7 separate regions of the Mus musculus genome follow, and all the other regions are reported to be linked to region 7. The links are microRNA targets in miRTarBase. Many come from high-throughput screens and were not tested one by one. Region 7 holds a microRNA gene; each other region holds the end of a gene's coding sequence.

Evidence for each region. Region 7 holds the annotated microRNA mmu-miR-17-5p (CAAAGUGCUUACAGUGCAGGUAG, at 2,283-2,305, opposite strand). A microRNA usually pairs through its seed, bases 2 to 8, with sites in the 3' UTR of a target mRNA and lowers its output. Matches are read on the target gene's strand: a 7mer-m8 pairs with bases 2 to 8, a 7mer-A1 pairs with bases 2 to 7 and ends in A, and an 8mer does both.
Region 1: the mRNA of Dync1li2 is a reported target of mmu-miR-17-5p. Seed matches in the 3' UTR shown: 7mer-m8 at 1,343-1,349 and 7mer-m8 at 697-703.
Region 2: miRTarBase lists Ankrd17 as a target of mmu-miR-17-5p. Seed matches in the 3' UTR shown: 8mer at 2,029-2,036.
Region 3: miRTarBase lists Reep1 as a target of mmu-miR-17-5p. The part of its 3' UTR that is shown has no 7-base or 8-base seed match.
Region 4: the mRNA of Marchf6 is a reported target of mmu-miR-17-5p. Seed matches in the 3' UTR shown: 7mer-A1 at 680-686.
Region 5: the mRNA of Slc35f3 is a reported target of mmu-miR-17-5p. Seed matches in the 3' UTR shown: 7mer-m8 at 514-520.
Region 6: the mRNA of Mapre3 is a reported target of mmu-miR-17-5p. Seed matches in the 3' UTR shown: 8mer at 2,307-2,314.

Annotation. Positions count from the first base shown.
Region 1 is chr8:104,417,968-104,421,046 of GRCm38, forward strand. It overlaps Dync1li2 (dynein, cytoplasmic 1 light intermediate chain 2), which reads right to left. Exons shown (of 13, transcript NM_001013380.2): 13 at 1-2,715. The coding sequence ends at 2,615. Among named protein-coding and RNA genes, the nearest start is that of Dync1li2, 24 kb to the right of the region's middle.
Region 2 is chr5:90,226,546-90,229,628 of GRCm38, reverse strand. Ankrd17 (ankyrin repeat domain 17) reads left to right here. Exons shown (of 34, transcript NM_030886.2): 34 at 288-2,463. The coding sequence ends at 347. Among named protein-coding and RNA genes, the nearest start is that of Cox18, 4.1 kb to the right of the region's middle.
Region 3 is chr6:71,807,423-71,810,505 of GRCm38, reverse strand. Reep1 (receptor accessory protein 1) reads right to left here. Exons shown (of 7, transcript NM_178608.4): 7 at 1-2,715. The coding sequence ends at 2,705. Among named protein-coding and RNA genes, the nearest start is that of Mrpl35, 15 kb to the left of the region's middle.
Region 4 is chr15:31,456,479-31,459,561 of GRCm38, reverse strand. Marchf6 (membrane associated ring-CH-type finger 6) reads left to right here. Exons shown (of 26, transcript NM_172606.2): 26 at 283-3,083. The coding sequence ends at 373. Among named protein-coding and RNA genes, the nearest start is that of Ropn1l, 4.3 kb to the right of the region's middle.
Region 5 is chr8:126,394,309-126,397,391 of GRCm38, forward strand. It overlaps Slc35f3 (solute carrier family 35, member F3), which reads left to right. Exons shown (of 8, transcript NM_001363500.1): 8 at 124-1,649. The coding sequence ends at 359. Among named protein-coding and RNA genes, the nearest start is that of Gm51604, 27 kb to the right of the region's middle.
Region 6 is chr5:30,864,854-30,867,926 of GRCm38, reverse strand. Mapre3 (microtubule-associated protein, RP/EB family, member 3) reads right to left here. Exons shown (of 6, transcript NM_001310516.1): 5 at 2,960-3,073; 6 at 1,821-2,799. The coding sequence ends at 2,731. Among named protein-coding and RNA genes, the nearest start is that of Tmem214, 3.2 kb to the left of the region's middle.
Region 7 is chr14:115,042,906-115,045,988 of GRCm38, reverse strand. It overlaps Mir17 (microRNA 17), which reads right to left and starts at 2,318; the gene lies at 2,235-2,318. Mir18 (microRNA 18) reads right to left here and starts at 2,138; the gene lies at 2,043-2,138. It overlaps Mir19a (microRNA 19a), which reads right to left and starts at 1,989; the gene lies at 1,908-1,989. Mir20a (microRNA 20a) reads right to left here and starts at 1,832; the gene lies at 1,726-1,832. It also overlaps Mir19b-1, Mir17hg and Mir92-1.

The DNA of each region.
Region 1 (3,079 bases), not on the chromosome of region 7:
CTGGTTTTAAAATGCCAACAACAACAAAAAAAGTAAAAATGAAAAAAAAGGTGCAATCGGGCACTGTAGCACACACCAATCCTAGCACTTGGGAGGCAGAGGCAGGCAGATCTCTGGAGGCCAGCCTGTTCTACAGAGTGAGTTCCAGGACAGCCAGGGCAATACAAAGAAACCCTCCCTGTTATTAAAAAAAATGCAAATAAAATAAAATAATCTAGCAGCATATATGTTGGATTTTTAGGAAAGACCAATTCACAGCCCTCATGTGGGCTATAATTTTTAGGCTGGGCTTACTTAAAATTATCCATTTAAAGACAAACAGAGGTAATCATTATAATGTGTATAAATAGTCATAAAATTGTCTTTTATAGTCTACCATGCAAGTGTATTCTTGCAAATAGAATTAATTTTACTCTAAAAAGTAAAGGCTGTTTATTATTTGGCCTTTGGTTCCAATGCTTGAAACTCCTAAAATAATAAAAATTACCTCATCTCCTCAAACCCCCAAAAAACCCTGAAGCTCCGCAAAGCTGGTGGACTTTGGCAACTACTGAGCACATGACAACACGCATCAGTTTCTTCTGAAACTAGGCGCATCCAAGTATCAAAGGAATAACACAATGGTCTCCAAGCCTCCCTCCCACTCCGACCTCAGCATTTCCTCAGTTGGTTAGAGCACACTTGACATCAACACAAAAAGTGCCTACCCGTTCCAGTGATACACTTTAACTTTTGTATCAAGGTTTCAAAATCACACTATTAGGCAGTGTCTTTGCAAGAATTCCTAGTTTCTGAGGTCATTCACTTTGCCCTGGCTGCTACGGAGATCAGTTGACCCTCCATCATGGTTTCCACTCCAGCCAGTTTGCTGTCATCGCCTGGACAACCTGGTCATTTGAAGCCACAATGCATGTTTAAAAAACAAAACAAAACAAAACCAAAATAACAACAACAAAAAAAACTGAATTAAAAAAGGAAAAAATATATTTCAATAGTACAACCGGCACAAGACACATCTTTTTGTTGTTAGAGAGGCAAGCAAGCACTCAGCTTTCCCCTTAACAGTGTTCAGACCTTTACAAAGCCACTCGACAGTTGAGCAGCCTTGTCATGTAACTAGATGTTAACTTACGCAACTACATTAGTGGTTAGTCAAATCTGGCATGTATGTAACAACATTAGGAACACTATGCCGAGACACAGTAACAAACATTCATATAAAAAAAGAGTAAACTCCACGGAAGTGAACTGTGGTTTTCCCCTTGGTTTGGATAACAAAGATTTTATACATTAAAGTCATGGTAGTGCTTGCATTTACATGTGCTGTGTCACACAGAAACTCAAAGTGCCATTTCAAATCCACAGAAGTTATCTTCAGCATGGTGGTGTGACATGACAGTGTTCATGAACATGCCCCTGATGGAAGACACAGAAGACTTGCACCTCCTTAAGAGAAGAAGTGCTACGTTTCATGGAAAGCACAAGCCTACCACTTCCACTCTCCATGGAAAGCACCCACCTGTCGGTCTGACAGCAATGATCCGACCAGGGAGCTACAGAAAGAACCTTTCTGTATCAGGGAGGGTTACCACAGGCTCTAAGGCAGGACCTGGCACAAGCCAAATAACCAGAGTGTAACGACATTAAATACTTCCCCCACACTTTCCCTAGAACATTGCCAACATGGTACAAAATGAGAAATCAATCACCCTTTTTCTATTAGTTGGCCAGCCTGTGGTAGTTAAAAAAATAATTAAACAACACAAAACAGGAACTATTTAAAATATCTAGTTTTGTATCTGCTGACTTTGAACATAACGCACAGCGACTGCCTGCCCCAGGTTACATCTGCATAGAGCCCGACATCTCTCCAAGGACAAGGGACATGGCCTGGGTCAAGCATGTGGGTCCCGGGGGCAGCTGTGGTCTTCACCAGCCCTGAGTCAGCCCACCTTACTCAGCACCCTACATAAAACACATTTCCCATAACTTAAAGATCATTTAGAACAAGCCCAGCTCCCATTCTGTTTAGTGCTTAGTTTGGAAATGTTTCTAATTGTTAGGTCTTAACTGTTGCTATCTGGTTTCTACCGAGCTTGTACTTACTAACACTGCCTGCCCGCTCACTCGCTTCCTTCCTCCACCTCCCTCAACCTTCGGCTTCCCCACCAGCACTTCTCTCGTCCCTCCGGAACCTTTCTCTTTCCTGGACTGTCAGCTACTTAACCTGCTTCCCAAGAACAAGTGAATTTGCTAACACGCAACTGGTCAAACTAACCATCCATCTGAACAATGCCTTCCTAGTCTCCTTTGCTCCACCCTGATAGAAAGTGGGCCTCCTTTCTCCACTCTACAAGGCCAGCTGCACTTGCTTCCCACAAGAGAATCGCAGCCCAAGAGTCCAAGGGACATCCCTAAGAAGGGGCCTGACATGGAGCCTCCTAAATGTGCATCTCACACTCGGACAAGCCAAAGAAGTATATGTATTGTTTTAAAGTTCATCTCCCCTACCCCCAAAAACTGACAGCATGTGCCGAATCAGAAAAATCCTGGTCTTATCAGATGAATATACATAGTTATTTGGTCATTTGACAGATGCACTTTCAAAGGAGGGTCAGGCTTCATTTTCTGTTGAAGAGTTTGTTACCATGGAGTCTGGCTTTCGAGTCATTCTATCCAGTTCTTCCTGAACATTTGACAACACAGTCTTTTGTCCTTAAAGAAAAGAAATGGAACAAGAAAGAGAGAGAGAGAGAGAAAAAAAAACAAACACAAAATAGCAGTGTGAGGAAATAATTTTGTTTTCTATGCAGGGTTTCTCTGTATAGCCCTGGCTGTCCAGGAACTTACTCTGTAGATCAGGCTGGCCTCAAAACCCATCTTTCCTAGTGACAGCATCCTCAAAATGAGAAAAGTCTTTTCAACAAGGATAACAAAAAAACCAGACCCTAATCTTGTTACTGCCAGTGCCACAGGTCTGTGCTTCTGCAACTAGGCAGCCGCCTCCTCGGCAGGGCCTGGGGATGCCTCTGTATCAAACTCAAGGGGTCTTTCTGAAAACCCTCATCCCCCATCCCTG
Region 2 (3,083 bases), not on the chromosome of region 7:
TAGCAATTGAGCCATCTCTGCAGGCCCCGCCTTTTATTCTTCTGTTTGAGTTCTTTGACAAGAGGTCTCAAGTAACCCAAGCTGTCCCTACTGTACAGATAAGGATGACCTTGAACTCCAGAGTATTTCCTTTTCTTTATTAGGACTAAATGTGTTGCCAAATCCAGCTATATGTTGACGATTGAATGAGATTATGTTGTCTTAGTCCATAAATGTTTCATTGTTTGTCCTAGTATTCTAAGTATCTGCCTGACTTGTATTTGGTGACACGAATGCTCTGTTTGTAGGTATGGACTGGACCCTGGGCACCTCACATGAACAGTGTGCACATGAACCAGCTTGGCTGATGAGGAGAAGCCTGGTAGCCTGCAGATTCCTTTCATTCAGAGGAAATCACAAGTGGCCGAGAAACATTTTTATGCTCCCAAATCATTCTACTGATGTGCTTGACTGAAGTGTGTAGGCTTTTTGCAGAAGAACTTACTAACTGACCTATTTTCTGTGAACATTTGTGACAGCCAATTCTCCATCATCATCCGTTTTTACCTTAGTTAGAATTTTTTCTTATCATTTTTCTTCTTTCTTTCCCTCTTCTCCTTTGGACATAACTTTCTGTTGACGCTGTTCTTTGGCTGGTTGGTTTTAGTACTGTAAACTGCTTCTGAGCAAACACGGAAATTTAGCAAAATTATGTAAACTTGATCCTGAAGTTTTAGAATGGCAAATAAATGTACAATTGTTTACATAACAGAAAAGGCTAAGCAGAAAGTAAATTTCAGTGTGTCAGTCTAGAGGCTCTACTTTATGTAGACTTAAATTCATGTGAGATATGTACCTTCATATTCAGAAATCTGGATGTCTCCTTCATACATTAAACTATTAATAAGCACCACTTTTCTACTTGTATATTTTAAGCATAGAGTAAAATGATGGGCATTATCAACTGATGTTCCCTGCGTTAGCTCTGAAACACCCATCTTATTCCCTGTTGGGTTTGATTGTAGCAAGGCAGATAGAAGAAATTTCTGATTTTTCCGTGTCTTTATTAAATTTGTCACACTTTTCAAACTCATGCACACACATCTCTTCAGTTTGGACTCTCTCTTTGCCACTATTGCTACTTAGTAAGATTCTCTTGCTCAATAGTGAGAACCTTCTTGTAAAGTTTTTTCCCATAGTGGCTGTGACACAGATGTGGAGCATCTTCAGTGGCACCAGTGGTTTTTTCTAACCAGAAAGCTTGAGACTTTTGAGCAACTTAAAAGCCACCACAGCTCTCAGTCAGCATATATTGTTTATTTTTAAAGATTTCAGCATATTTTATATTGGATGATATTGATTCTTAACATTGGCCCTTCCTGGTCAGCAAGAGTCAACATGCAGTTTTCCCTTTTCAAGCATCTATGTCTTAGTTTGAAAGGCTCCTCTCTCTGTAGTTGTTGGTAGAAATGAAAAGGATGAACAGCTAACTTGGGCCAACTCAAAAAGGAGTGTTTGGGTTCCTTTTTAAAATGAATACACGGATTATAAATTAAAGTCTCCATTTAACTTGTTTATATGTGATTCAGGGCCACACTAAACTACTCAGTGGGAATTATATATTCCAACCACTTGAAACAATAAACAATAATGTATACAAGAAGAATATGTGTCCTGCCCTGTCTCCTATGGAAAAGTAACTCACATGATTGAAATATAAAACAGTTTATACATGAGAAATACTGTCATAATACATGTCAAATACTATCAATTTGGTTTTTAATTAGAGACAAACTTAACACTGTAAAATATGAACTAAAGCTTACACATGCCACCTAAGGTTGATAATAACATTCATTGGTTGTCATAGTATGTGATATGATTTTATGCCTGTAGTGACCTGAGTGAAGAGGATAAGGTAGTTTCTCAAACCCACCCAGCACTCTGGATGCTAAGTATATACATTCAGTTCCACCTTTGCTTAATACACACAAAATAGGAGGAAAATAGCCTACAAATACAGCCATGAATTTAAAAGAAATTTAAAAAGCACTTTACTTACACAAAGCAACAAAACTGCATGATGTTAATATTTTGTATTGAATTTTGCCACGGTTCTGTCTTCTTTGCTCCCAGAAGACTTTTCTGAGATACCTAGAGTTATTTTCTGCCTAAAATAATAGAGTTGGAGAACAGACACTACTCAGGGTGTGCTGCCACGTGTGAGTAGTGGTGTTCACCACACATAACCTCCTAGCGAGTGTCTTACTGAAAAAGGAAGAAGGGTGGGAAAGCGAGTATTTTCTTGGTTTTAAAATGTGGAGCATGGAAATAGATTTGAGCCCTGTCTCTCTACACTGAGAGAGCAGGATGGCGCCATGGTTCTAGAAGTTTGTACCAGGAACATTTTTCAAATACATTTTTATACTTCAGATGTAATATAGAACATTTTATTTATTTAAACAATAAAAAAAAAGTTCTTGAGACCGTGCAGGTCTTTTTTTTTCCCCCCTTTTTGAAGTATGTGATTATCTCTGCACACTACATAGTTTGCTTCTTTTTAAGAAGCGACTTAACAGATAGCTGTGGTGCTGCACACCTTGAAATCCCAGCAGTCAGGAGGCAGAGCCTGCTGAATCTCCGAGTTCAACCCACCTGGTCTACTTAGTCCTTCCTAGGACAGCCAGGGCTACAAAGAGAAACCCTGCCTCAAAAAAGAAGAAAAGCGGGGAAAGTGTGGCAGATGTGGAGCCTGGCAGAAGGGTCTCTTCAATTCAAGACCAGCCAGGTCTATAAAGTTCCAGGCCCAACAGGGCTACATAGTGAGACCCTGTCTCAACTTCCCCCCCAAAGCAAAAATATACCTGAGTCTGACTTGAAGGGGTTATTTTTTATAATTTCTCATAAGAATTTGCCTCATATGTATTTTCTTAAATTTTCCTAAAGAAGTTTAGAAATTTTATTTGGACTATGAGCCCTGTAAAATGACAATATAACTTATATTAAAATTTTGAGCAGTGTGCTAATATTCTATAATAAACATGTTGAGGTTTAGGGTTTGAAGGTTAGTAAGATACTTGTCTAGTATATGTCATGCTGCTTAA
Region 3 (3,083 bases), not on the chromosome of region 7:
TTCGAGCGTCCACTGTCAGAGGATGAAGCACATCTTCCACCACGTCTAATACTTCAAATACTGTGCAAGGTGAAGAACTGGGATGGCTACGTGATGGTTGTGGTTGATAAGCACTTAATACAAACACATGGACAGTTTACCACAGAGAACATACATATCAAAGGCCAGCAAAGTGAGCAAGCTATTCACACAAACTCAGGAGGCATTATGACTAAATCTCCAGTTGATGAGCAGGAGACTGCACCTCACCTCTGCAGAAATGGAGAGTAACTCAAAGCCGCGACAAGTAGACCTTCGAGCTAGCGATTTGTAAACAGCCTGTGTCTTAAGTCAGCGAACTAGAAACATTCATTTATCCTGCGTAGACAGAGCACCGCACTTCTACATACAAGGTCATTCACATCATATGTCAGTCTACATACAAATACACAGCTTGTCAGAAAAGTAAACACAGTTCTCAAGAAGTAAGACAGCTGTGTTTGGCTGTACAGTGAGTGTCTTTAAGAGAGGAAACAACTTAGTCAACACTTGAAGGAAAAGGAGTTACATTTACAATAAGACAACGATTTAGATACCTTTATATTTTAAATCTTGAGCGAGAAGTAATACAGCATGTCTGAGGAGTGCTTCAAACTGGGTTTTGGCATGGCTGAGTACAAACTCAAGAGCCTCGATGTGTTATGACTTCCTGTTGTAAAACGATGAAAATACACTAGGACTTGAACTCTGTCTCTAAAGCCATTTATTATTTCGGGGGGTGGAGGGGGAGCTGCAAAGCTGCTTCTCTCAGGCTTTCCTGCACCTGTTCCTCTTCATCCTGGCTACACCCAGCTGACACGTTGGTATGTTTGAAGGGTGTCACTTCTCTTGTCTGGAGCTGTGGGGTGAGCTTGAAGAGGGCAGATGCTTTGCTTAATGGGTTCAGATGGATATGGGGCCCAGGCAGACTATTTACCGTCAGTCATCAGCTCTTGGGTTAGTTCTGAAATACAAAATCACCTTTGGAAAATTCCATTAGGTGTATCTGGCAGCAATGAACTCGCAACTGAAACCCTTTGTGAAATGGCCAAGGCCCAGCTGATGGAGCAGTCTCCCAGTGCATGTTTGCATAGCTCGGTACCAGAGCGGTTTGTAATTGAGCCTGTTTGCAGTCAGTTGACAGTTCTATGTGGTATACAACACTATTTCTCTAGCCTTCAGGGCATAGCTGTGAACAAATATAATCCAAATAGGAGTAACTGGGTTGTGACTGCTGCATGCATTCCATGGAACGAAAACACCAACTCTACGCACACACAGACTAGCCCTACAATTTGGCTCAGCTATCAGAGGAGAGGGCAGCTCCCTCAACGCAATGTTATCTAAGTCAGAGACTTGTCAAAATTCTCACTGCAGTCCTGGCTTGTATAAAACATCCACGAAGACATGGAGTGAGCATGAGTGTCAGTCCTTCCCATTCACCTTCCACACAAGCCAGAAAGGAGCAAGAGCCACAGCTGCCTGTGGCTTAGCCTCAGTCCTCCCTAGACCCTGCCTTCTGGCGACCATTTGAGATTTGAGTGTCTCATGTGTTTTGAGCACATCTGTAACAAAAGCTAGTTCTAGACTTTTCTTTTTGCCTTGTGTACTCTAAAACAAGGTGCTCAGATGTAGGCTCCTGGAGAAGTCGGCCACAGCGCTGGTCCCTGAAGGAGAAACACTCTTGCCAAGCCCTTCTGAGATACTCACAATTCTGCCAGCAGCTGATCTTCATTCCCTAAATGGCCGTGCTAAGTAAGGGTGAGCTGGCCTGCCTGAAGCAGGGCCAGTGCTCCCCAAAGGGCTCGGAAGCTTCTGTTCTTGACCCCAAAGGGCAGGAAGGGTGAGATTAGGTACAGCACAACAAACCTATTAGGACAGCCAGGGACCCAGAACTGAAGAAGCCGTACTCTTCCTCCCTCTTCCCTGATGCCCACCAACTTTCTTCCTGTTGCTGGAACACTGCACTCCTGCCTCCGCTCTGACCTACCAACCACTCAGCCGCCAGAAGCACACCACCGCCTTCCTGCAGGAGAAGGGATGCCTTACTGGCACTGCCTTTGTAAGGAAGTTGGAGACATTGCCTAGAATTAAAATATTTGTCTACATTTTTGTTTTTGCAGCTCTCTCACCAGAACTTCTGGCAGCCCTTGCGAGTTCATTACATTAAGCCAAAAGCTGTAACTATGTACACCATAGTCCAATGTATTAGTACCAAGAACAACAAAAGGGTTTTTAAAAAAGATCACGTCGTTTGCATTTACAGGACTAAAAACTATGCAACAAACAAATTACAAATGTACATCTCAGCAGCATCATGGAAAGAGTGCTTATAGATCTAAAAACACTGCGGCCACAATGACAATCCAATTGGGGAAAATCACTAACCCCAGAAGACGTAAAGGTCACCCTCCACCACCACCTTTTCCCTTTAGCCTCTCCCCAGCAGGAACAAAAAGGAAAGAACAGAAGAGTCTTAAAGGCAGAAGAGGGGAGCGAGTAAAGGCCATGTCCGTGGGCTGCACACTCGAAGCACACCCAGCCTGCGGACTTCCATGGTACTAGTGACTAGCTCTTTAAGGCAGAGGAGACAGACATGTGTGGATCCGGGGCTGTTGGCTCATCTCACGTGGTTTCAGTGGCCGAGGATGAGGTACTTTTCTTCCTGAAGCGGGATCGTAGGGTTCTAGGCGGTGCCTGAGAGAGAAAGCAGAGAGAGGGGCTTGAGGGTGGAATCTTGGGGAACAGCGTCAGGTAGGGGTACTTGAGCCAGCTCCCTCTGTTGTTGGGTAGAGCTGGGTTCCCTACAACAGGAATCAGATTCTAGCGTTGCACCCTGTGAGGTGAGGCTGAGGCCCCCCGGGAAGGCCACTGCTCCTTCCTGAGGCTGAAGAGAAGGAAGGGCATACAGAATGGCATGGCTTCCTTGCTTCAGGGGACAGCTCCAGCCCTTGGCTGAGTTTTATAGTTCCTATGGGAACTTTTTTCTGGCGTGTGCTTTCACACAAACGTCCAGTCTCTGTTCTCTTTTACTCTCCAGCAAGCCACACCTGGAAGGCCACCAC
Region 4 (3,083 bases), not on the chromosome of region 7:
TGGACTACAGTGACGAGCACTCCTAACCTCCCCAGTGTAATACAGACCCCATCACTGAGCATCATGTGCAGTCTCCACAGCTCTGGCCCTTCCCACAAACCTCACCTTATGCCAGACCCTCCTCCAACGTGCTGGCCTTTGTGCTCGCTCTAGACGCCCTCTAGCCTGCCTCTTGAAAGGTTGCTAGTAAGCTGCTGTGAATACAGTTAACAAGGTGTCACTGGAAGAATGGCATATGTGTGAGTCACACAAGAAAGTGACCACCCTGTTTTTGTACTCTAGGTACCTTGTGGGGCAGCGCCTGGTGAACTATGAGCGCAAATCCGGCAAGCAAGGCCCGTCTACACCGCCTCCGGTGTCGTCCCAAGAATAAAGTGCTTGTCTCAGCTCCTTGAGCTTCTCCTTGCCTTTTCGTGTCCTTTGTTGTGGACTTCTCACTTGGAGATTCTCCTGTGATCTCAGCGTTGTTTAAGTTAAATGTACTTGACTTGTCTCCTCAGCATTCAGAGAGCAGCGCATCCGGCACTACTGCTCCTCCCTGCATCTGCCGACATCACTGCTGTCTTGAGATCTGTACATGTGTAAATAGGAGTTCCTTGATGCCCTAAAACCTTGGATTAAACAGAATGTGCATTGTACATCTTTAACAAATGTATATTAATTTATTAAATCTAGTTGTCACTTTATTTTGGACCTGCTGTGATCTCGACAGGAAATGTGCCACAGAGCAGTAGTGTATAGGCGAGACTTTGAGTGACATCTTTTGGAGCACAGTGCATGGTGTTGCCAGCAGTTCTCACCAGGTAACTGCATCCTGTCCTTGGCTGGTCAGTCCTTCCTTACCAGGAGCCGAATGGGCAGTGGAGCCTGTGGTAGGGGACTGGACGGAGTGCCTCACAGACAGTCGTATTTGGAAATTATTACATGTAACACCAAAGCTGTTGTACATTTTCTACTGCCTGATTGTTTTCATGTGTCTGTGTTTGTAATATTGTATAGTATATTGTGCTAGATGAGGAAATTATTTTTAATTTTGATAATTTAATATTCCTAGTGATCAGCATTGGGAGTTGGGGTTTTTGTGCTTGTTAGGGGCATGTCTATACTTAGAAAGATAAACTACAAATGAAGATTTTTTTATTGACCTCCTCCCCTTCCATACAGCTCTTTCTTTTTGTCAACAGTGGCCAAAAGTGTCATGCCGGATGAGAAATCTAAGGGGATGTCATCACCAACAGGACCAGTAGTGACAGGTCAAGGCCCTAGGCCGTGGAATGAGGCCGACTGCATCAGGGACGATGAGTAGAACATCCTGCCGTGCTGGCAGCACATTGCAGCTGAGGCTCAGTTAATATACCAGGAAACCCCTGTTCCTAAGGCATGGTGTTTACAGTAAACCGCAAATAAAACCAAGTTTTATTTGTTTGAAAGGAAGCAGACTGAGTTGGCCTTCGCCATAGGAAAGAGTTGCATTGGAGAAATGCTGTGAGATTTTAGAGAATTTAATACTCAGAGGAAGCCTGGTTCCCCTAGCCCAAGCTTCATGTTTAAAGTTTAAAAGATTAGGATGGTTGTACGTCATTCAAGTGTTTAATGGTAAAGGTGTATTATAAGGATAGTGCTAGAAGCTTTCATAGACTGTAAAGAGTTCCATGGAGTATTAAACCCATAGTTGGAAAGGTCTGAGGGCCCACCCCCACCTCTAAATACAAAGCCAAACAAAAGATTAAGAGCAATGCTTTCTGGTTTTGTTCCTTTCTTGATTTTGTCTTTTTGTCGTTCTTAAATTCACTAAGTAATAAGCAAATACTTTGTTTTAAAGCAGCATTATATTTAAAAAACAAAAACAGTCTTGCCATGGATCCAGTGTTAACACTGTCATTTTGTAACAGCCTTTCTCTCCTGTAGCAAGCCTACCTTCACTCTCAGACTTTGTCCTTCCATAAAGAATTAGCATTTTAAAATGCAGTGCCACCTGTCAATGGGAATATGTCTATAAAGCCTAATCTTTTGATGCTGGTATATTGGACATATAACATTCAGGTTTCATTTTTAATTTTTAAACAATTTATGGATCTACCACAAAAAGCTAAGCATTCTCAGTCATCTGGAATTGTAAGTGAGCTTACTGGATGCTTTTCTGAGAACAACCACAAACAGCGCCGATTGCCAAGGTGGGCCCCATCTCACTGGCAGGGCCTGCTCTCCTGTGTGCTTTGTCCAGTGGCTTTCAGGAAGATGATGTCCTCGTGGGGATTTATTGTGCATAACATTTGCTAGGGTGACATACAGGTTTTATTCAACAATATCATAAACATTTAAAACCCTCAATTCAGAAGGTGTTCCTATTTGCTGCCGGTCTTTACAGGAAATTTATAGAGATGTGCATCATTTTGAATTAGGCTAACACCCAGTCTTCAAGGGAGTTTACTAGGAAAGACCTTTGTGCTTTATTATTGATAATTTGAAGACAAATCACCACTTGGGATTAGTTTTACATGACCAGTTATCAGATGGTCACTTCGAAATGTATAGTTGTTCATTATTAACAAATTATGGTTTGATTTTTAAACTACAAAGTACTAATAGTTTAGATGAAAACTGAAGAAAATGCCAATGTAAAATTTGTGTGTAGCTAGCCTTAATGTTCCATGTTTATAGTTGTGGTTCCAGCCCCCACTCCCGTTCTCCGGGGGTAGGGTAGGGAGATAAGACATGTATTGAACAGTAATTTTTGTTTTAACAGTCAGTATAGCTGTTATTACTGTGAATTCTCAAGATGGTCCCTCCCCTCAAGGGACAATCCTCCTATGAGTTTATCAGACATGTCGCTTCTGTGTCGCACAAATGCTTTATTAAAGTATATTCCTAAATTCAGGTTGAGTTGATGAATTTTTAAGACAAACACAAAATACGCATTGGACATTTGTACCCTGTTGTGTTTGCAGACACAGGAGCCAGTGCCATTATGCAAGAACTTGGCACTTGGCACGGTGCTCCAAATTAGTTCCTTCCTCTCCTCTCTGGGGTGGAGAATATCAGGCTAGTTACTGTGATGCCTCATTTTACATTGTGATGCTCAA
Region 5 (3,083 bases), not on the chromosome of region 7:
CAAGCCCAAGGCCTCAGAGGAGACAGGTGTTGAGAGGTTCAGGTGGCCCTGGCCTGCCCTGTCGGATGCTCAGACGTATCTCCACGTCCACAGACTGAGTAACCGGTGCTCTGTCTCCCACAGTGGTCGATCACTACACCAGTCAGATAGTCTTCAACGGGGTCCGGGTCATCGCCATCATCATTATCGGCCTGGGCTTCCTCCTCCTGCTCCTTCCAGAAGAGTGGGATGTCTGGTTGATCAAGTTGCTCACCCGCCTCAAAGTGAGGAAGAAGGAGGAGACAGCAGAGAGCAGCGGGGACTTGGGCACGGGTCCCCAGAGCAGGAGCAGAAGAGCCCGCCCATCCTTCGCTCGCTGAGAAAACTCCTCTAGAACTCTGGGATGCACCCATGGTAATGTTTTTGAGGTCTATTCCTGATGGAGGAACCTCAGTTGGGTGAGGTGTACATACATGTACAGTTTTGGTAACTGCAGTAAGTTCTACGGTATTTATTGGCATGTCCAATTTGCTTGCACTTTTCCACGTCAGACCTTCCACTAAGGGTACCGATTCAAAACAGATGAGAAAAGAACCTCTCAGCGCTTCTTAAATGAATGTAAAGCGAGGTAAAATGAGCCTTGTGTCGGTCTCTTCAGAGGACAGGCAAGCTGGACAAGCCAGGGCAAAGGCTCTGCCTCTTAGCAATTGAAAGTGACATTGTGCACTGTGATTATTTTTCAGCTATAGTAGGTCATATTTTGTTTTATACCAGAACTGTATACTTAATTTTAAGGAATCTCAATGAACCAAAAGATAATTGTCAGTTAATTTGGATGGGTAGATGGATAGATGGATAAATGGATGGATGGGTGGGTGGATGGATGGATGGATGGATGGATGGATCGATCGATGGATAGATAAACATATAGGTGGATAGACGGTTGATGGACAGATGGGTGGATGGGAAAGGAAAGGAAGAGAGGCAAAGCAGAAAAGGATAATGACATGAAGATAAACGGAGGACAGGCCTGTGCTGGGTCACATGATAGAAAACAGAACTCCGACCTAGCTGGTCTGGTCTCACAAGACCATGAGGAGAACTCAGTGCCTTCTACAGCATCTCTGTCCTATGTGAAGCGAGGTGACATTATATGTCACTGGCGCCGTCTTATAATTTAGATGTAGAAATCTTTAAAAAAAAAAAACAAACACAAACTATATGTGTATATGTGTGTTTAAACGTGACAAAGCCAGTGGCCAGTGTATTTGGAGGGTGGTTGGCGGTGTGTGACATGCACAGCAGGTGCACTGTGTGGGAGGGACGGCTGGTGGCTTTCACTTCCAGACCAAGACTGAAACATTATTTACTGAGTCTGTAAGCCTTTTAAAGAAACTTTTAAGCGCCGGGCTGTTTACTTACACAATTTAGGTCTGCCGGAGACTTCTATCTGTGATAGATCTGTACAGAGGGACTGGGCTTAGAGTTTACTATTTTTGAAGTTTACATTGTTACATATAAATGGGAACCTGATTTTGAAATGGTATCATATCCTAAAGGTGCATTCTGGAACCATGGAGTCTTTCGTTTCCTGGGGGGAAGGGGTACTCATGACCTGAACTTTTTAGCCAATTATTCTCAGTTTCCATAACTTGTTTGGCCAAACAGATTAATAAAACATTTGAAACAAACAAAAAAAAAAGCATTGAGTGTACTTTTGGTGCCTCCCGGTGACCTCCCACTAAGGGTCCTTGTGCAGCCTGCCTAGCTGCCAGAGGGAAGATGGTTGTTGCTATGGCAACAGACATAGAAACTAAGTCTGTGGGGCTGAAGGGATGGTGCAGCAGGAGATGAGTCAGTGGTAAAACACCTGCTGTACAAGCATCTGCACTCGTGTAAACAGCTGAGCATGGCTAAATGCACACGCGTGCACATACACACACACACACACCCCTGTAACAGTAAGGGGAAGAGGCAGGAGGGTCGTGAAGCTGTGTCTAGGCAGCTGTGGCCACAAGCTGTAAGACCCAAGTGTCTTGGGCAGAGCTTTGGAAGGCAGGGTTCCTAAAGATGGGGTCACATCACCCATGTCTCTGTTCCAGAAAGTCCAAAAGGCAACACAGGTGGCAAGGTTGTGTCCTGCCACCTCCACCACTGAATACTTCATAAAACTCAGCCCGGCAAACATTTCCCTCTATAAAGTTAGCCCTATACCTGCCCTATAGCAAATGTATCTTGTCCTATCAGCTCACTGATTTAAAACAACAACAACAACAAAAACCAAACAACAACAACTAGAGAGAGAGGTGGCTCAGCTGTGAGAGCACTGGCTGTTCGTTCAAAGAACTCAAGTTTGGTTCCCAGCATCCACAGGACAGCCCACGACTGTCTGTAACTCCAGTTCCAGGGGATCTGATGCCCTTTTCTGGCTTCCACAGTTACCAAGCACTTGAGGTACACATATATGCATACAGACAAGATAGCCACAAACACATTTTTTTAAAAAAGATAACAAAAGATTGGGAGCTCTTTCCTCCTGACCCTCTCAGACCTCCCTTCTAGCCCAGGGATCTCCAGTGGCCACCCCAGGCCACCATCAGAGAAGCTTCTTTGTGCAGTAGAGGGGAACTGACATAGACCTACATCTGGCCGATGCAGAGGAGAGACGCTGGAGCACTCTGTCCTAAATCAAAGCCTTCCCCTCATGACTCAAGGATCTGTAAGGGAGACGAAAAGATTCTAAGAGCCAGGAATGATGGATGTCTCCAAAGAAACTGGACTGACAGACATGTGAACCCAGAGACCTGCAGCGTGTACAAGGCCTGCCCAAGTTAAAGTCAGACCGGGTCCTAGTGTTGAGAGGGGAACATAGACAAAGGCTCTCAACCCCACTAAGATGCTATCTGATACCCTTGAGCCTCAGGGCAGGCACCATGCTCACCAGTAACTGGCCAACACAAAGACCGTGGTAATTTTGTAAACTTTTTGTCTCATTTTGCTTTTGTTTAGAAACCTTTTTTTGTCTAGTTGATCAGTCTTCATTTTGTGTGTGTGTGTTTTCCTGGGGTGTTTTATTTTGTGTTCTTCTGGGGGTGGAGGGGTTG
Region 6 (3,073 bases), not on the chromosome of region 7:
CAGCCCTTCAATACAGTTCTTATGTTGGAGTTACCCCCAACCATAAAATTACTTTCGTTGCTACTTCATAACTGTAATTTTGCTACTGTTATAAATTTTAATGTAAATTTCTGTATTTTCCAGTGGTCTTTGGTTACCCCTGTGAAAGGCTGAGAACCACTGGTCTAGACAATCCCAACAGGTTCACATCCACTTCAGCATTCTTGATCTTTGCTGGGTTTCCACGCCTTGGCTATTATGTCTCTTTGACAAACACACTTCAAGAGGGTGGAGTTGTGTGGATGACAAGGGAATGTATCTGACTCCTGTCTCTGTTGGGTTTGTGCTGTTTATATATGCCTGGTAAATGCTGAACCCCAAGATCTGGCTCCATCCTCACATACACTGGCCTTTGTTGTATAAACCAAACTCCCCAAATTAAAGAGGTCACCATTAGATAGGGTAAGGCAGGCCTAGAAGTGTACCTCGAGGACAGCTGATGAAGCAGAACCAGCCTGGATGAGACTCACACAGCAAGTACTATGGGAGTATAGCTAAGAACAGCCGGTCTAGCGTAGGAAAAGAGTTGAGGGTAATCGCCCAATAATTGGGCTAAATTAATAAGACTCTGGGTCAGTGATTGGGTGGATGGCCAGGTCACAATAACAAGTAGTTTTTAAATAGCCAACAACACCCTCCTTCCGGTTAAATCTTGCTCTAAAACAACCCACTTGGGGGCTGGAGTATAAACTGAGTGCTTGCTCTAGTTTTCACACATGCACACGTGTGTGTTACACACGTATGCAAAAATAATAGGAAAAGAAAAAGAGGAACCATGTAGACCCAGCTGTTCTCTGGGCCACAGGCATGTGTGCTGCAACAGCTGTTGTGATGTGTGGGAGCTCTGACAAGGAGTAGAGGGTTACCCTGCAGGCCAGCCTGAAAGAGTCTGCAACAAAACAGTCCTTGGCCAAGAAGCCCCTCCTTCCCCAGTCATCCCATGGCCACTTTCTGGGCTGCCCTCCTTACAGCCACAGCTCTAGACTTCATTCTCCTCCTGAGGACTCCCTGTTGTGGTGAGAACACTTCAAATCCTACAACTGTCTTTCAGGAAGCCACCATTTGGTGCCCCAGACTGCAGGGAGACAAGCCATCCTCTCCTTCATCCATGACGTCAACTGGACAGCATTTGCAGGAACTGGCTCTGTGCTGGCAAGGGCAAGGACTTCAGTACATATCAACACAATTTTCTCAGTGTTTAGTTTTCTCTGTGCCTATGCTACCTGAGTCTGGTGCTTTAACACTAGCCCAGGTTTGCATCAGTCCTGCCCTAGACATAAGAAGTGTATAAACCGCCGGGCATGGTGGGGCACACCTTTAATCCCACCCAGCACTTGGGAGGCAGAGGCAGGCAAATTTCTGAGTTCGAGGCCAGCCTGGTCTACAGCAGAGTGAGTTCCAGGACAGCCAAGGCTACACAGAGAAACCCTGTCTCGAAAAACAAAACAAAACAAAACAAAACAAACAAAAAGAACTGTATAAACCAGCTAGCTAGGGGTCTTTATAGAGAGGTATTTTCGTGATCCACTGGCCTGTAACTCATCCCTAACAAACCCTTGTTACTCACCAAGACCAACTTGAACAAGTCCTTTTTTGGGCTGTTGGTATCATCCCATTTTCAGGGACAGTCTTACATCTCCCAGAGAAATACACATACTACCTGCCTCACAAAGAGTCCTCAGTCGTGGGAGTTGAGTCTAGGTCAGAGCCTGGTTGTCAGTGGTGGCTTCTGCTCATGAAGGTGTGCTGCATGGCTATCCTCTTACAAAAGACAGAGAAGGTGCTATGTTCTGACCCCTTGCTGTGGGTCAATTGAGGAAATCATGGCTTGCCACACAAATTTATTTAAATAAAACTGAACAGATATGCAGGCTGGTGCCCAAGGGGCAAAGGTGGGGGTGAGAGAATGGGGGACAGACAGACAATGGGGGCCAGGCAGAGTCTGTGTGGTCTAACTAGGCTGCAGGAGGGAGTGGCTAGGAAGCCTGGGGCAGTGCTGGGTGTTGGTGCTGAGGCAGGGGCTTGGTGGGGGAGCCCAGTGCCTGGAGGTCATGTCTACTCTCGCATGCTCCCTGGACCCAGAGCACTGCCTCCTCAGCTTCCCTTCCCTTTCCTCATATCAGCCTTTCCCTCATCTACTGAGAGAGAAGTCAAAAGACAAAATAAATAAGAATGGGTGAGTCCTGTCCCAGTCTCGGCTCTAGGGAAGGGGAGCCAAGCCAGAAAGACTACCCCAAGCCCTGCTGTCAGCCCTGGAAAAGAACAGGTAAAGTGCAAGGGCAATCCAGTAAGTAAAAATATACCAATGACTTTGTCAAATATACAGCTGCTGGCTGCCAGGGAGCAGGTGGCTGGCTTGTGGGGTACAGCGGCACCCTGGAAAGTGTTGGCCAACACAGCATAGAGACAACGGAAATAAATAGGAGTGGGGAGTGGACAGGGGTCCTGGACGTCCCCTGGGCCAGTGCCACTCGGGGGACCCAGACAGGGCCTCGTCCTCTCACCTGCCCAAGCCTCCCCCACCACCCTGAACCCCACTCGTCCGGCTCCCTAATGCTGTGGCACTGACACAAAGCACCCAGCTGGCTGACTGGCTGAAAGGAAAGGACTATAATGTGGGGTGGGCATAGTTGGGGTGGGCAGAGTGGAGGTGGGCAGGGAAGCTGTGGTCAGCCAGGGCTGGCGCCTCCCTCAGTACTCGTCCTGGTCTTCCTGTTGGTGTTCTTCAATCTCATCATCCTCAGGGGGTGCAAATCCCTCCTGGAGGAGGGAGAGAGAGATGGTAAGGCAGCTGGCCAAGGGGAAGGATCAGGTTCACACTCAGCCTAGAAACAAGGCATGAGTGGCCACCAGTTCAGGAGCTCTAGCTTGCTCTCGAGTCTCAGCAGAGCAGTGGGAGGGAGGTGAAGAGAGGGCTCACCTCCGTGGCATAGAGAATGCCAATGATGCCCGAGATGACGGGGCTGTTCTCGCTCTCATGTTCCTGGCAGATCAGCTCGATGTCTCGCAATTTGCTGAAATAGAAATCTCGTTC
Region 7 (3,083 bases):
CCCCATTCCTGAAAGCTTATAGCAACTATATGCCCTAGTTACTACAAAATCAAAGTCTAAGAGAGACCACAGCTGTTTTGCCAACAGAGTTTTAGAGCAGACAGTCAGCAAAGCCCCCTGTGCGGAACTGAACAAGTGCGTTGCTGCGTGAAGCCCTTAGTGCAGAAAGCAGCTTAATTAAGGGAGGAGAGAGGAAAATCCTAGGAAAACTCCTCTTCACTACTAGGCCTCTAAGACACACATTCCTTACTAAAATTAAATCTCAATTTAAGTTCAAAACATTCTGAACACAATTACTACCACAAGCTCAGCATCCAAAGGTCCTAATTAAGACCTTATTAATTTTAAACTTCTAATTTAGTATATTGAAGAAAGTACCTGGCAGGCTTCCTATGTTGGAAGATAAACGTAGCATTCAATCCGTAACACTGGTGACAGACCCCTCCCTTTATAGGAGGCACATGGATCATGTGGATCGTGCTGACATTAGAGCTTTATCACGTTTTAAAGGAAGTTTTCATTAGTCATCTGAAACAAGTTTTAATCCAAAAATGTTAAGAATGGAGTCAGAAGTGACTATGTTTCTGTTTTAGTAATAATTGTACAATTCTGGTCACTCACAATCAAACCCAGGCCTGTGGAATCCTTACCTGGCAGCTCAGGGATCCATCAGTCAGCTTCTTGCATTTCTTTTAAAAAAAGCAACATATTATGGAAAACTTTAGCTCTGTAGATAGTGTCAGCTTAAACCTGATTTTAGCAGCTCTTCCTTATTAATTTTACTTTTCTTTAGGTTTCACTCCAATGATTTTTATTCATAGCCTGAAACCAACTGTGCTGCCCAAATGTAGAACTATATATTATATATACTGTTATCCTAAATACTAACTGCAGCTTCTCCAGACCCAGCACTCGAGTGTCATGTGTACCTGTCACTCTACTGACCATCAGTTTGCCATCTTTCCCTTGAGGGGGTCACATGGTAAGAACAGTCCAAGGATAGTTCTTTCTTACAGGGTGTGCACATTAACAGAGTGGCCACCACCTGTTAACTGTTAAGAACTCACGGATTAGGAATAATCTTATCAGAAAACACTCCATCTGAATTGTCACACTTTAATAAACAGAGATCCAAAGAAAGTAACATTTTTCTTAACTCATGTTAATGGGTTTTAGAGTAAAATAAACCTGAAGTCATACCAGGTTCAAAAGGCAGTTTAACTTCACCTAAGCCCCCACACACAACTTCTTACTAAATCCAGCGAGCAAACACGAAAATGAAATGATTCAGTAAAAACAAACCACAATTTAAAAACACAAATTTCAATTAAAAAAATCCCGTTTTACACACCAACGAAAGCAATAGAAATCACAGTTTACAGAATGTGTTCATACACTCCATCAGCTCGTGAACATTTTTACAGTGGAAATCGGCATCTTCAGCAATATTGTCATTTTCACATCTTCTGGTCACAATCCCCACCAAACTCAACAGGCCGGGACAAGTGCAATACCATACAGAGAAACACAGCATTGCGACAAATCCCAACCTGTGTAGAAAGGGGTTTGATTTTCCCTTACTTCTCTACAGACTTTTCACCACCACAGTCAGTTTTGCATGGATTTGCACAGCAGAATATTATACAGCTGGATGCAAACCTGCAAAACTAACCATAGACCAGTGCTCAATAACAGGACAGTTGGCTGGGCGATGGCCAGGCGAGGCTGGAGTTCTACAGCTGGCAGTACTTTAAGTGCTCGTAATGCAGTAGATGGCTACACACTACCTGCACTATAAGCACTTTAGTGCTACAGAAGCTGTCACATCACACACACCACGCAGGCTCTACATCGACACAATAAAAATACAAAATTAGTTTAAAAAAAAACAACACTTGAAGTAAATAGCAGGCCACCATCAGTTTTGCATAGATTTGCACAACTACATTCTTCTTGTAGTGCAACTATGCAAAACTAACAGAGGGCTGCAAACACAACTATGGAGAGACCCCTACATGCTTGCTTGACTTGGATTGGATGAGGACATAACTTCTTATGCCAGAAGGAGCACTTAGGGCAGTAGATGCTAGTCTACTTCACTATCTGCACTAGATGCACCTTAGAACAAAAAGCACGCAGCACCAGCAGGCCCTCCCCGCGACCGACTGACCGACGACTGGACGCAGCCAGTGCCGCCCGAGGCAGCGCCCACTGTGGCTCCCACCGAGGCAGCTGTCAGCATAATGCTACAAGTGCCCTCACTGCAGTAGATGCACACATCACTACCTGCACTGTAAGCACTTTGACATTATTCTGACTGGTCACAGCTTCAGTCCCAAGGTGAGGTTCACTTTATTCCTGCTAAATTTGAAATAAATAATTAGACAAAAAGGAAAAAGCCAAAGCTCTAAATTCTGTCACAAACATCAATTACAGCTTATACCCAAGGGGGGGAGGGGAGGAGCCAATAGCCAGAAGTTCCAAATTGGACACATGTAAGCCTTAAAAAAAAAAAAAAAACTCCTTAAAGAAATATAAGATACAATCCCATTAAAATGTTGGCTTTTACAGTAGGCTTCCCCAAAAAACACACAATAAGGGTCCTACAAAATGAGACCTGTTATCAGGAAGGCAGTCTGACTTGGTACTACCTTTAGAGGAAAGCCTCACATTGACCAGGCAGCAATCCCTTTCTTCTGTCCTCCACATTGTCAGATACTCGACAAGATTAATGATTATTGTTTAGTCATTTTCAAGTTTATTAGTCATAAAACATAAAAAAGTCTTAGTATCACCCCAAATTAGAAATACTCTATGACTCCAACTTGAAGGGTCTACAACTATTTGGTTAGTGTCCAAAAGCCACTGTAGATTTACTACGTTAAAATGTGGCTCACTCATTTATGACAAGAGTTCAAACTGTATTTATTTCATACCTTAAAAGACCAAGAATGTTGTACAAGCTCAAAGACAAAAGTGAAAACCAAAGGTCTCAAAAGAAGTTTTAGCTACAAAACTAGAATATACTCACCCACTCAGGCAAACTTCCTTCTCAGCAAGTATCCTTGGGCAATGCTTCGGGT